3 linked regions of the Schizosaccharomyces pombe genome follow. The gene in region 1 interacts genetically with each later gene. Each region holds a gene or a part of one and is shown in the gene's direction. Other genes may lie near its edges.

Evidence for each region. Genes that interact genetically often act in the same process or in processes that back each other up.
Region 2: mutations in spf31 (region 1) and sap114 together harm fitness more than expected from each alone (negative genetic interaction), as found in Schizosaccharomyces pombe (one large-scale study listed by BioGRID).
Region 3: mutations in spf31 (region 1) and gnr1 together harm fitness more than expected from each alone (negative genetic interaction), as found in Schizosaccharomyces pombe (one large-scale study listed by BioGRID).

Annotation. Positions count from the first base shown.
Region 1 is NC_003423.3:1,068,434-1,072,071, reverse strand, and holds spf31 (DNAJ protein Spf31), read left to right. Parts: upstream 1-2,035; 5' UTR 2,036-2,129; coding exon 2,130-2,180; intron 2,181-2,303; exon of another isoform or gene 2,304-2,383; coding exon 2,384-2,962; 3' UTR 2,963-3,111; downstream 3,112-3,638. Other genes in the region: TRAPP III complex subunit Trs8502, read left to right, coding at 1-501; rhp18 (postreplication repair E3 ubiquitin-protein ligase), read right to left, coding at 651-1,814.
Region 2 is NC_003424.3:1,171,789-1,176,196, reverse strand, and holds sap114 (U2 snRNP-associated protein Sap114), read left to right. Parts: upstream 1-1,748; 5' UTR 1,749-2,041; coding exon 2,042-2,168; intron 2,169-2,217; coding exon 2,218-2,524; intron 2,525-2,587; coding exon 2,588-2,904; intron 2,905-2,989; coding exon 2,990-3,364; intron 3,365-3,407; coding exon 3,408-3,727; 3' UTR 3,728-3,846; downstream 3,847-4,408. Other genes in the region: ept1 (CDP-alcohol phosphatidyltransferase class-I family protein), read right to left, coding at 416-1,439, 1,490-1,626; cardiolipin synthase/ hydrolase fusion protein Crd1, read left to right, coding at 4,071-4,198, 4,241-4,297, 4,341-4,408. UniProt on the Schizosaccharomyces pombe protein: Involved in pre-mRNA splicing. May be involved in endoplasmic reticulum-associated protein degradation (ERAD) and required for growth at low and high temperatures.
Region 3 is NC_003421.2:765,374-769,318, reverse strand, and holds gnr1 (heterotrimeric G protein beta subunit Gnr1 ), read left to right. Parts: upstream 1-1,775; 5' UTR 1,776-1,949; coding exon 1,950-3,149; 3' UTR 3,150-3,383; downstream 3,384-3,945. Other genes in the region: wybutosine biosynthesis protein Tyw1, read left to right, coding at 1-1,333. UniProt on the Schizosaccharomyces pombe protein: Negatively regulates the pheromone-response pathway. Acts as a structural mimic of the G protein beta subunit thereby interacting with gpa1 which then inhibits gpa1 signaling.

The DNA of each region.
Region 1 (3,638 bases):
ATGAGTTTGACGAACACATTGAGAATAAACGAGTATATGCAATCTGCTATGTTAAATTATTTGAATAAATCCTTCAATTCCTATTATCATGCTGCGCGCTGTTTCCTTCTCCTGGGACAATTCCTTAGTTGTTTACCAGCTCCAAAAGTGGACGATGCTGCTAACTGGAATGCAGGTTTGCTTTATTCTAAGAGATTGGGTCCTGTAGGAAGAGCAATGATCTTTCAACAAACTCACACTCTCTTTAAATCCCTTTCTTATTTAAAAACTGAATCTACGGACCCGTTCTCTAATAAGCGAACTCGTAAAGCCGCACTTTGGTGTGTATTAACTGCCGATGCTTGGTTGAGATGTCGCATTCCCTTTCGTGCCAAGCCTTTTGTAGAGGAAGCAAAATTGTTTTATGGAAAAATCGATTGGAAGGATTTGAAGGAGTGTGTTGCAGCACTTGACGAAGTCGAAGTCTCCAAACAACCTGCTTCTAATATTCCTTCTAGCTAGAAATGCCCCACTTTCAAAATGTATATTATTTTATTTACCAAATATCAAAATTTCTACAGGTTATTAATGTGATTATATATAGCGAAATAAACTAATAAGTTAATCTGATAATGAAAATTCGTTAAAACGAATCCAACGAAAATTAATGATTAGGACTGTGGTCCATCGGATCCCGTTTGTGAATTGGTAAGGTCAATAGTAAGAGGGGGACTAACTGAAGTGGCAGGAAAACCGTTAGATGTAGAAGGTTCGGTGGAAGATTCAACAGCAGTGTTCCTCAATGAATCATTTTTGTTAGTTGTTGATTGTTTTGCACGGTTGATGAGATCAGCAAAATCCTCAGCGTATGCCTTCTCCCAATCGCCCCCTCCTAGTTTTTCTTTTTCTACTCCAATTGATTTCGACTGAACGCGCTCCCAATCTATAAGTTGGCGAATTAAATTTCTTTTTGAAACAGGTTGTTTCTGGTCTAAATTAGAATTGTAAAGGGTAACCCATTTAGCATGTCGACGTTGTAATAGTTGTTTATGTCCATCGGTTGGAAGCCCCATCTCTGATAATTTGGAACGAATTTTTGATTCGGAAAGGAGTGCATAAGTTAGTTTGGGAAGCCGCACTCGATCTTTCAAGGGTAGTTCATCTGCAGAGTTAAACGACCTTAACCTGCGCTTCGTGATAGAATCATCATCTGTTTTGAATGATAGTAATGAATTAGATTTACTATTATCCTTATTTTTATAAGGTGAGGAAGAGGAAGACGGGGAAGAAGGTGAGTTAAGACAAGAATCCAAGTGTTGATTAATTTGATTATGAGGAACTAAATTTGAACATGCAGGGCAGTGAACTAAATCCTCACGTTTCCTCTTTTTAGAATCCCTAGATGTCTTTTTAGCTATAGAAGCAGGAGATGAATTTGAAGCCAAGTCGTCTTCCCATTCCTCATCGCCAGAAGCTGAATCCTGTGCGATAACTGTTTCAGGAGCTTGAAGTACTGGCTTTGGCACATTTTCTACTTTTAAGAATTCAAACAATGTTGGCCTGATCACTTTAAAGGACTCTAAAATCTCTTCTAATATAGTGTTTTTTCTTAAGCGGCTTTCTTGCTCAGGAGCACGACAAGCAGGGCACATAGGATGTTCTCTCAGATAATCGCGTATACAAAACGAACAAAAGGTGTGTGAGCAAGAAGTAATTAAGGGGGCGCGAAAGTATTCATGACAAATCAGACATCGTAAAGAAGAATCCAAGCCCTTCAACGATGGTATTTTCGTTTGGTTCCAATCAGATGGATCTGTAGCATCTAGTTCATTCATCTTATTTTAAATTGCAAACCCATTAATAGTTAATATGCACTAATATTCAAACTTAATTAGGGATTCGTAAGAGCACTCTCGGACGGTAAATTTTTAAACCTTAGACACATCGATATGTAAATGAATATGTATATTCATATACATTATTACATTTAAAGAACAAATGTAAAGAACCTGTTTCTAAACGTACTTACAGATTCTTACCCTCGATACCAGAAGTTGGCGAATGCAAAACCTAACTCACCACCAAATTTATCTATAAAGGATTTTTGAAATTTGCACTCTTGTAATTTCAATTTTGGGGCTCGGTCAGAAATGGCAGACGTTGCAAAGTTTTTAGATCGAGTTGAAGGAAGTTTAAACAGAGTAAGTTTTAGCATTTTATTGACATTGCATGTGAAGATTTCTAGATGTACCTTAGTAGGTTGATTCGATTTATCTTATTCTCAGAATTTTTTTTTTTTTTGTTTATACAGATTATATACTACAATGAAACAATAGAATAACTTTGCCTATGCGTATATTACTTGCTAATCAAACAAAGTCGATGAATTCTAACCTTTACTTAGGGACGTGAGATTGACAGAATATTGTCTTCCTTTAAATTAAATGCATATGATGTTCTTGATATTTTGCCAGGAATGAGTGTTGATGATATTCGAAATTTGTACAGGAAAAAATCATTAATGATTCATCCAGACAAAAATCGCGATAACCCAAAAGCTGCAGACGCATTCGACATTTTAAAAAAGGCGGAGTCTGATCTAGTTAATGATAAGATTCGGGAATCTCTTGATTCGGCTTACACAGCTGCAAGGAACCAACTATTGAAAGAAAAAAAATTGTCTCCAAATTCGGAAGACGTCCATTCAGACCAGTTTTTATTTGATTTAAAAGTACGTTGGCGTGAAATCCTTATTGCAGATGAAGTTGCAAGAAGACGAGCACGGCAGCTCGATTTAGCAAACCAGCAAAGAGAACAAGCGCGTCAAGATGAAATTGCAAGAGAACGAAAGCGTCGTGTAGAATCAGAAAAGGTTTGGGAAGAGACAAGAGATAATCGTGTGGGAAATTGGCAGGATTTCCTTCACAAAACGAAGAAAAATAACTTAAAAAAGAAGAATAAAAAACCAAGGGTTCTTGGATAAAAGACGAAGTTACGCGTTTTATTGTACATTAAAGCTTCGACGACTTAACCTCTTTTAGTATTTGTACATGACCTATGCGATTGAAATGATTTAATATGAAGTTTTCAACAATTTATAAATTGAAATTTCTTTTCATGCTACGTGAGCAGATTACCATTAAGTAAACTAATCAACAAATTCTACTGAAATTTGCTTTTCGACAGTGATATGTATCAGTATCGTAATAGAATTAATATGAATGCCGTTTAACCATGGTAACTGCTTTGTATATTTACAGCGTTCTATGGCATATATTCCTAATGGGTGCATGTAAAGAAAGAGAATGATTGCCCTACCCACTGTCGAATAAACAACAAACTAAAGATGTTTGTATGTACAAGGCTTTTTGGAGGAAAAAGTCCTTAAAGAGAGAATAAGACCAAGAGCTTCCTTTTTTTCCTGGCATAGCATTAAAGCGCACCAACTGAAGAAACAAGCATCATCCTAACGTGCATCCCATTATGAGTTCGTATACCAAGTTAAAAAAAAGAGGGCAGAATAACACTAAAATTACTAATTATGTCTTGATCATATGTTTAAAAGAGATAAAAAGAAATAAGAATAAAGAAAAAACGCGACCATCATTATATATGTAAGTGAAAAGGGGCAGCGATTTAAATAAAGAAGAGAGAGGACT
Region 2 (4,408 bases), on another chromosome or scaffold:
GTGGAACCAGTCATCTTAGTTAGTGCAGCCCCGGTATTCCACGGTGAAAAGCAAGTTTGCAGTGTAGAAGACAAATGGACCATTTGTTCATCAGTATATACAGTTAGTTAAAAGGATACGAAAGGCTGGATCATTTAGTGAACGAAGTCGCAAGTGAAATACTTGTTCATTATTATGTTCTGGTAAAAAAACCAACTTTTATTACTACAGCAGGAAAACAAACAAAAGTAACATATTGTTGGCAGAAAACACACAACCGAAAAAAACCTGTCTACTAGGAAATGGATCATTTTGATACTTCTGATCCGTTAGATACATTGCAGAACAAAAGATCGACCGAAAGGTTATCAATGACAAAATCTCTCTGGACCCTTTTGTTCTCATCTCTATTCTGTCCAAACCATCATCATCTAGTTCAATTCTTCTTGGACTCTGGTTTGGATGGAATAGTCAAACATTTAATGCCGTACTCTTCCGTAATCATGGCAATGACATGTGCAACAAAGTTGCCGTAAACACCAATGCAAATTCCAACGTAGCAAAAAAAGTATTCCGTCTGAACGTTTTTTAATACGCCAAAAGTATAGGCGTCCACGGCATCCACCAAGAATGGAAGAATAAGCACATTCCAGTATGGGAAGGGAGATTCGGTAATGTGAGAAACAATTACCACTCCAACCGAATAAGCAAAGATAAAAGCGTTCAAGCAAAAAATAGTGAGGAAATGATGTTCAAAGAAAGCAGGATACTTGGCATAGAGTGAAAAGACAGCCATCCATTGGAGGAAATAGGGAAGGATACCACTCAATGCTTTAATCACACTTCCGTTGTTCTTTTGGACGGCTTGAAGAGCATTTCGTAAACTTTGTAAGACATTCAATAGCAGGGCAAATGCCATAAAGTTGTACAAGCATGATCCATATGTGTAGTATGGCAGAAAGGAACGTACAAATCCCCATGACTCGGGAGTGGGATGTAGCTTGAGCCAGAAAGAATCACCCTTAATAGCTGTAAGGGCAAATAGTCCAATAACCATTACAATTCCTTCGACAGGACCCGAGAAGTATGAAAGGTACAAAGTACCCGTATGGTATTCTTCCCAAGTAGAGATGTAAAAGTATAATAAGCTGGCAAATTGAGTAAGGATTGAGCTAAACATATCTAGTTGCAGCAGTTCAATCGTCAGTAAAACTTCAAAGCTCGTATTGATGGCGTCTACTCCATGGTCAAATAATTGACCTAATGGAGATGATGTGCCAGTACGACGCGCTTGCGAGCCATCAATAGCGTCAAAACTTTGGTAAAGAAAAAGGCCAATCGCCCAAGAAGCATACACCCATGATGGGAAAGCATCCATCTCATAATGATACTTGTACACAAGCATAGTAAGGATATTGATAACAACGAATCCAAGCCCGATCAAAGTAATCAAATTAGGTCTAAGTAAAGAGTTAGTAAGAATAAGCAAGCAAACGGGTGTAGATCATACGCCATAGACATGGGAATCACCTTCAAAAGTTGATTCCACCAGTACGGCTTCAAAATATATTTTGAAAGAAGTGAGTTATCAATCGCACTATATTTATAGTTATGAAGATTCTTTAACTGCTTCCGGTTTAACTGCATCTTGAGAAACTACCTGGATATCCTTTCCTTATTCTCCGATAAAGTACTGGTAGAGGGTAAACATGTTACGCGTCTTAGTGTGTAGAAATAAAGGCAAAGCAACGAATGCAGATAAACCTTCTACCGATAAATAAATGTATAATGTAGCTTGCAAAAAAACTTGCACTATAACTATCTTTTAAATTCTAAATTGTAAGGATAATTGTTGCTATCAACCGTTTTGATGTTATTTGTCCATCCGCAGTGGATTACGGATGCCCTAGGCAACAACTGTTTAGAGCAGCAAGGTCGCCCTAAACTTTTATAAACTTCTATTGAATTTCAATAGTCCTTTCTTTTCGCTTGTCCATCGCTTCATCTGCCTTGTGCGACAAGTGTCCTTCCACCACTACCTTTTTCTGCATAAGTCTCACATATGAGTTCTTTAATGGAATTCCAAGACAGAAATACGACAAATAATGAAACAGAACACCAAAAAAGCATCACTGATCAAAGTTCATCGGTCCCTGCAGGGGTAATTTTACCTCCTCCAGCAATTCGAGGTGAGTCATAGTAATTAGTACAATAGACGCGCCTGCTAACGTAGCTTAGAAATAATTGATAAATCTGCTAGTTACGTTGCCAGAAATGGCCCAGCTTTTGAAGAAAAAATTCGCCAGAATGAACAGGCAAATACTAAGTTTGCTTTCTTGCATGCTAATGACCCCTACCACCCATATTATCAGCACAAATTAACTGAAGCGAGGGAGGGAAAATTGAAGAGTCATGCCACAGGCTTGTCAACCCAAAAAACATCCACTTTGGCTCGTCCCATTCAAAAACCTATAGAGGCAACTATTCCTGCTCCCTCACCGTACTTGTTTTCAGAACCACTTCCTTCTATTTCATCACTAGATTTGTAAGTATCATCTCAACTATTATTTCCTTCTTCTTTGAAGTTGCTAATTAACCGTGAATCTAGAGACGTGCTCCGTTTAACTGCGCGATATGCGGCAGTTCGTGGTTCTTCTTTCTTAGTGAGTCTTTCTCAAAAAGAGTGGAATAACACTCAATTTGATTTTTTAAAGCCAAATAATGCATTGTACCCTTACTTTATGCGTATAGTTCAACAATATACTTCTCTAATTAGAGAGCCCATTTCTTCGCCAGAACAGGAGCTTCGTGAAAATGTGAGAGACCCTTATAGCTTACTTTCTAAAATTCAGCCGCGTGTAAGGTGGCAATCGCATATGGAGAGCCAAAAGAAAAAACAAAAGGAAGAAGCCGAAAAAGAGAAGTGTAAGTGTATATTGAGATGCAAAAACTGGTTCAGGAAGTCCAATATTCTTCATTTACCATTTGAATTGGAACTAACTTGTCTTAGTGGAATATGCACAAATTGATTGGAACGATTTTGTCGTTGTTGAAGTGATTCAATTCACAAAGTCCGATGAACATGCAAAATTAGCTAAACCTACGAATTTAGCGGATTTACAAACTGCTACTTTAGAACAAAAGTCTGCCATGTTTACCATGCCTGACCAAAATTACACTATTGAGGAAGCTCCTCCTACAGCGGAGCCTTGGGAGCCCATAAGTGCGCCTAAAAAACAAGAATTTGGTGTTTCTCTTCCTCCATCACTTGCTTCTCCAGAAAAAGGAGGTATTTCTTCAACTACTTCAGTTTCTCCTGCCGCACAAGCTTCTCCCGTTTTGTCTACCACTACTCAGCCGAAGGTACAAAAGCCAGTACCAAAGGGTAAGTTTATATTCCTTATTGTAACTTTACTGACCCTGTTTAGCTTTCCAGCCCAAAGTTCCGATGGAGATATCGCCTTTCTCAGGTGAATTGGTTCCCGCTACAGAACTAGAAGAGCATATGCGTCTAAAATTACTTGACCCTCGCTGGCAGGAACAGCGCAAAGTTGAAGAATCTAGGAAATCAACTTTAAATTTAGAGAACGTGAACGTTGCTGCAAATATGAAAAGATTGGTTAGTCAACGGACTGATTTGTTTGACGTCCAAAACGGGGTAGAAATCTCTCAAGAGGAAATCGAACGAAGAAAACGTGCTGCTACTCAGAGCGCTTGGGGAGCAACTCCCACAAATAAACGCCGGTAGATTTCATAGAACTTTTTTTAATTTTGTTAATTTTTACTTTATTTTATTTAAGCTTCGTAGGACGCCGAAATCTATTAGTTAATTTGCTTCTACAACTCGTGAAATAAATAAGATGTAAATAAACCAGGTGTTGTAGACTTTCTCCAACTAATTGAGAATACAAATATTCTTTATTATAAAAAGTCCAATACACTAAACAAAGCTGGATTTTAACTTAGGAAATGCGGGTCTGGTTTTCATACCCGCCCACCGTCATCCTTAAGTTGTCATACCACGTAACCGCACAAACCTCTTAATTTTTTACTTCTTACATTGTTGATTCTTCATTTATCGGCTTTAATAAATGCTACATACTATCAATTATAGATCTTGGCATTTGGCTGCCAGGCAGTTAGGGCGTTCAACGTTTCGAAAGTTTACGACCGAATCGTCTACTAAAAGCCCTATTGCAGATGTTTGTTTCGCATTTGAGTAATACAGTAATTAATGATCGATTTTTGAAACTAACCAAAGCAGTATTGATGGAGTTTTAATTAGAGGAGGAAGAGGTTTGAAAGAAGGAACGAAGACGTAAGCTTAACTATGAACTACCATTTTCAAACTAACTTGTAAGTTTGAAATTTTTGCAAAAAAATAATATACCTTTTATTCTGTTAACGAATGGAGGTGGTATGCATGAGA
Region 3 (3,945 bases), on another chromosome or scaffold:
TGTAGCAGAATGCTTGAAAAACGGTACGCTTTTGAAAATCGGAAACACGGATTCACTTAGTTCGGATGTTATGGATGTTGAGGATATGGGTTCCATGATGGCCAAGGCAAAGGCAGAAGCAGCCTTGCCAGTGGGTACTAAAGAGATGGTTTCGACAGAGTCTCCTACGTATAAAGCCCTTACAAAGCAGGGATACAGCGTAGTTGGCTCACATAGTGGTGTAAAGATTTGCAGATGGACAAAGTCTGCTATGCGTGGCCGAGGCTTTTGCTATAAGTATAGTTTCTATGGAATTCGAAGTCATCTATGTATGGAAGCTACCCCAAGTTTAGCCTGTGCTAATAAATGTACTTTTTGTTGGAGACATGGTACGAATCCCGTAGGAACCTCTTGGCGCTGGAAGGTTGATCCTCCAGAAATGATACTTCAGGGTATATTGAAGGCTCATTATGCCAAGTTAAAATTAATGAAAGGTGTACCTGGTGTTCTACCCGACAGATATGAAGAAGCGTCTCGTGTTCGTCACTGTGCTTTGTCCTTGGTTGGAGAGCCTATATTTTATCCATACATAAACGAATTTGTGTCCATGCTTCATGAAAGAGAGATTTCATCGTTCTTAGTAACAAATGCCCAGCATCCTGAAGCATTAAGAAATATGGGTATGGTCACTCAACTCTACGTTTCTGTTGATGCCAGTACTAAGCAGAGTCTCAAATCAGTAGACCGACCATTATTCAAGGATTTTTGGGAGCGAATGCTAACGTGTTTGGAGATTTTACGTGAAAAGCGGCAGCGTACTGTTTACCGAATGACCTTGGTGAAGGGATTCAACATGGAGCAAATTAAAGAGTATACTGAACTGATTCGTCTTGGTGTGCCTTGTTTCATCGAAGTTAAGGGGGTTACTTATAGTGGTAATTCGGATCAATCACCGTTGACTATGAAGAATGTGCCTTATTATGAAGAGGTAATTGACTTTGTTAAAAAATTGATTGAGTATATTGATATTCATTTACAAGACCTTGGCGTCCGCTATGAAATTGCTGCAGAACATGCACACAGCTGCAGTATTTTAGTTGCTCAAACTGCGTTCAAAAAAGATGGCCATTGGCATACTCACATTGATTATCCAAAGTTTTTCGAATTAATACGGACAAAGAAAGACTTTGGTCCATTCGATTATATGGCATCCACGCCCGATTTTGCCATGTTTGGGAACGGTGGATTCAGTCCAGAGGATACAAGATTTCACAGGAAGAAAAAGACACAAACATCTAAACCAATTTCTGCAACCATTTCAGAAACTGCTACAATTTCGGAAGCCGCTGCGTAAGCCAACTTTTGTAGTAAATAGCTGAAGAAAAAAAAGAGTGACACACTCTAAAGTTTATGAACTGTTGAGCAGTTTTTGTACGCGTCTGCACTCATTGATAAAAAAAAATTAAGATTTTGGCATAGGTTATTTTCGTTAATTCATTAATATATTTTTTGATTTATCAATACAAAAAAACGATGAAGGCTTATTTGCTTAATTTCGTTCATATATTTATAGTTTCAATGGGCGTAAAGTAATAAAAATGTTGACGATATTGTACTCAATTGTTTTTTTAGTTAGACAAGTATATCGCAACCTGTCTCTATTTTTATTTATATAGTAACCTGAGTCGTAACTTTTAATTTTCTTTTTTTTTTATGATTGAGAAACAAAGAATACATTCTTTCTGTTTTAGGACTCGTGGAAATGTCTTGGAGTAATTCGAGCATACTGAGATTACAACTACTACATATGATTACAATTCGTTTTTTAAAGAAGGACTATTCGTTTTCAACCCTTATGACCAGATAGAAAGAAATCCATATATATATTATATATTTAAAAAATTAAAGTTGACATTGTGAAGAGCCATAATCCATACATGGTTAATAAAGTAGGTTAACTTGAGGAAGGAATGGATAATTGTGTAAACTCCTTTGAGGATCAGAAGGATGACTTGGTGCATAAGAAGAAAAGTCAAAATTTCGGCTATGTATGCGGAAGTATTAATTTAGGAACAAATGTGATTGCTCAAAGTCCAACAAAGCCATTGAATTTTTTTCATTCGTCAAGATGGTCGCCGGATGGATCGACTATACTTTCGTTAACAGAGGATCAATGTCTTAACTGTTGGAATGTGCCGTTTTCCGATTTATCCAAAAAGGCTGATGGACCATTGAACTTTTCAAAACATCTGTCGTATAAATATCAATCACCGGAAACAGTTTACAGTTACAGTTGGTATTCGAGAATGAAACTTGACGATCCTTCCAGTAACCTTTTTGCAGTGTCTAGTAGGGATCAACCTATCAAGTTGATCAATTTTACTACAGGAAAGAACAAGGCTTCATATCACATGATAGATCACCAAGAGAGATATCAAGGATCGCATTGTTTACAGTTTACCAACGATGGGGAGTATTTGATTGCGGGTGATAAAAACTGTCTCCATCATTTTAATATAAGAACGGGATGTAAAGAACCTGTCATGACAACGGTAACCCATGGATATAAAGTCCCTCTTTGGGAATTTAGTCTTAAGGGTATACAGTCATGCTTTTCCTTGAATCCGATGGATTCGAAAACATTGGCAGTGGGAACGTATTCAAATCGAGTTGGGATTTATAATGATTGCGGACGTCGCCCTTGTCAGCTAGAGTTTTCGATTGAAAGAGGAAACGGAGTGACACATCTACAATGGTGTGAGGATGGAGAAAAGTTATATGTTGGAAGCAGATGCAGTGATAAGATTGAAGTTTGGGATATACGGTATGTGCGCGACATGGTATATGCTCTTGAAGGGCATCGTGGCGATACGAACCAAAGGATTCTTTTCGACACTGATAAAAAGGATGAAATTTTGGCAGGTGGGACGGATGGAAGTATTCGTAGATGGAGAAACAAGGATCTTGTGGAAGAAACGCATGTGACGGGAAATTACGATTTGACGGTAAACACAGTACAAGCGAACCCTATAAACATGCAGATAAAGTGTGTATGTTATGGAAATAGAATTTACAAGTATGAGAAGGATGAAAGTGAAGAAGAGGATGAAAGTAAAGAGAAGGATCTTTGGACAGGAACGGTTTCGGCTTTACAGGTTTGGATGGATTGAAAAAGCAAAATTTGGAATGAATGAATACTTGAAAAAATAAAAAATGGTGAGCTTGAAGGAAGAACTTTATGAGGATGATTTGATTATTAATAGAAAAACATTAGAAAACCGGTTCTAAATTGGTGTATTGGTGAATGGGTGTTTTTTTCGCAATCAGGAGGAGTCCTCAGACATGTTGAGGGGTTTCATTATTTAGATTATGATAAATTAAAAAATAAAAGAGATGAATTTTATGCAAATAGTTGATTATAAGAGCGCAACAATCTTTGTATTAATAAAACTACACATTCGCTTATTAAATAACCTTAAACTCGGTTATACATGGATTTCCAAGTGTCGCAAGTAGAGGAGAAATGGAGAAAATGGAAAGCAAAGAATGGATGAAAATTGTAAATCAGCAGTTTCGAACTTTTCAAAAATTTGTTAAAAATATTAATTTTTCAATTTAATTGAATTTTGTTTTACAAGGTGGATACTATGGAGGAAAAAACAAGATATGTATGGAAAAGGTAGCGATCGCAAAGGAAAAAAAATATTAGAAAAGGAAATGGAATGAAATTAATTGAACGAAATGAAAAGGACATGAAAATAAACAGAAGTATAGAACAAGAAAAAAAAAATTTTTTTTTAAAATAACATAAGGATGGAAGTGATCCGGAGTGAATAAATAGAGGGAAATGAAAAAAATAAATAAATAAAAAATAAATAATAAAATAAAAAATATTTATATACACATACATATAGATTGGAAAAAGATGAAAGAAAAAAAATGAACCAACCAATCTATCAATAAGTA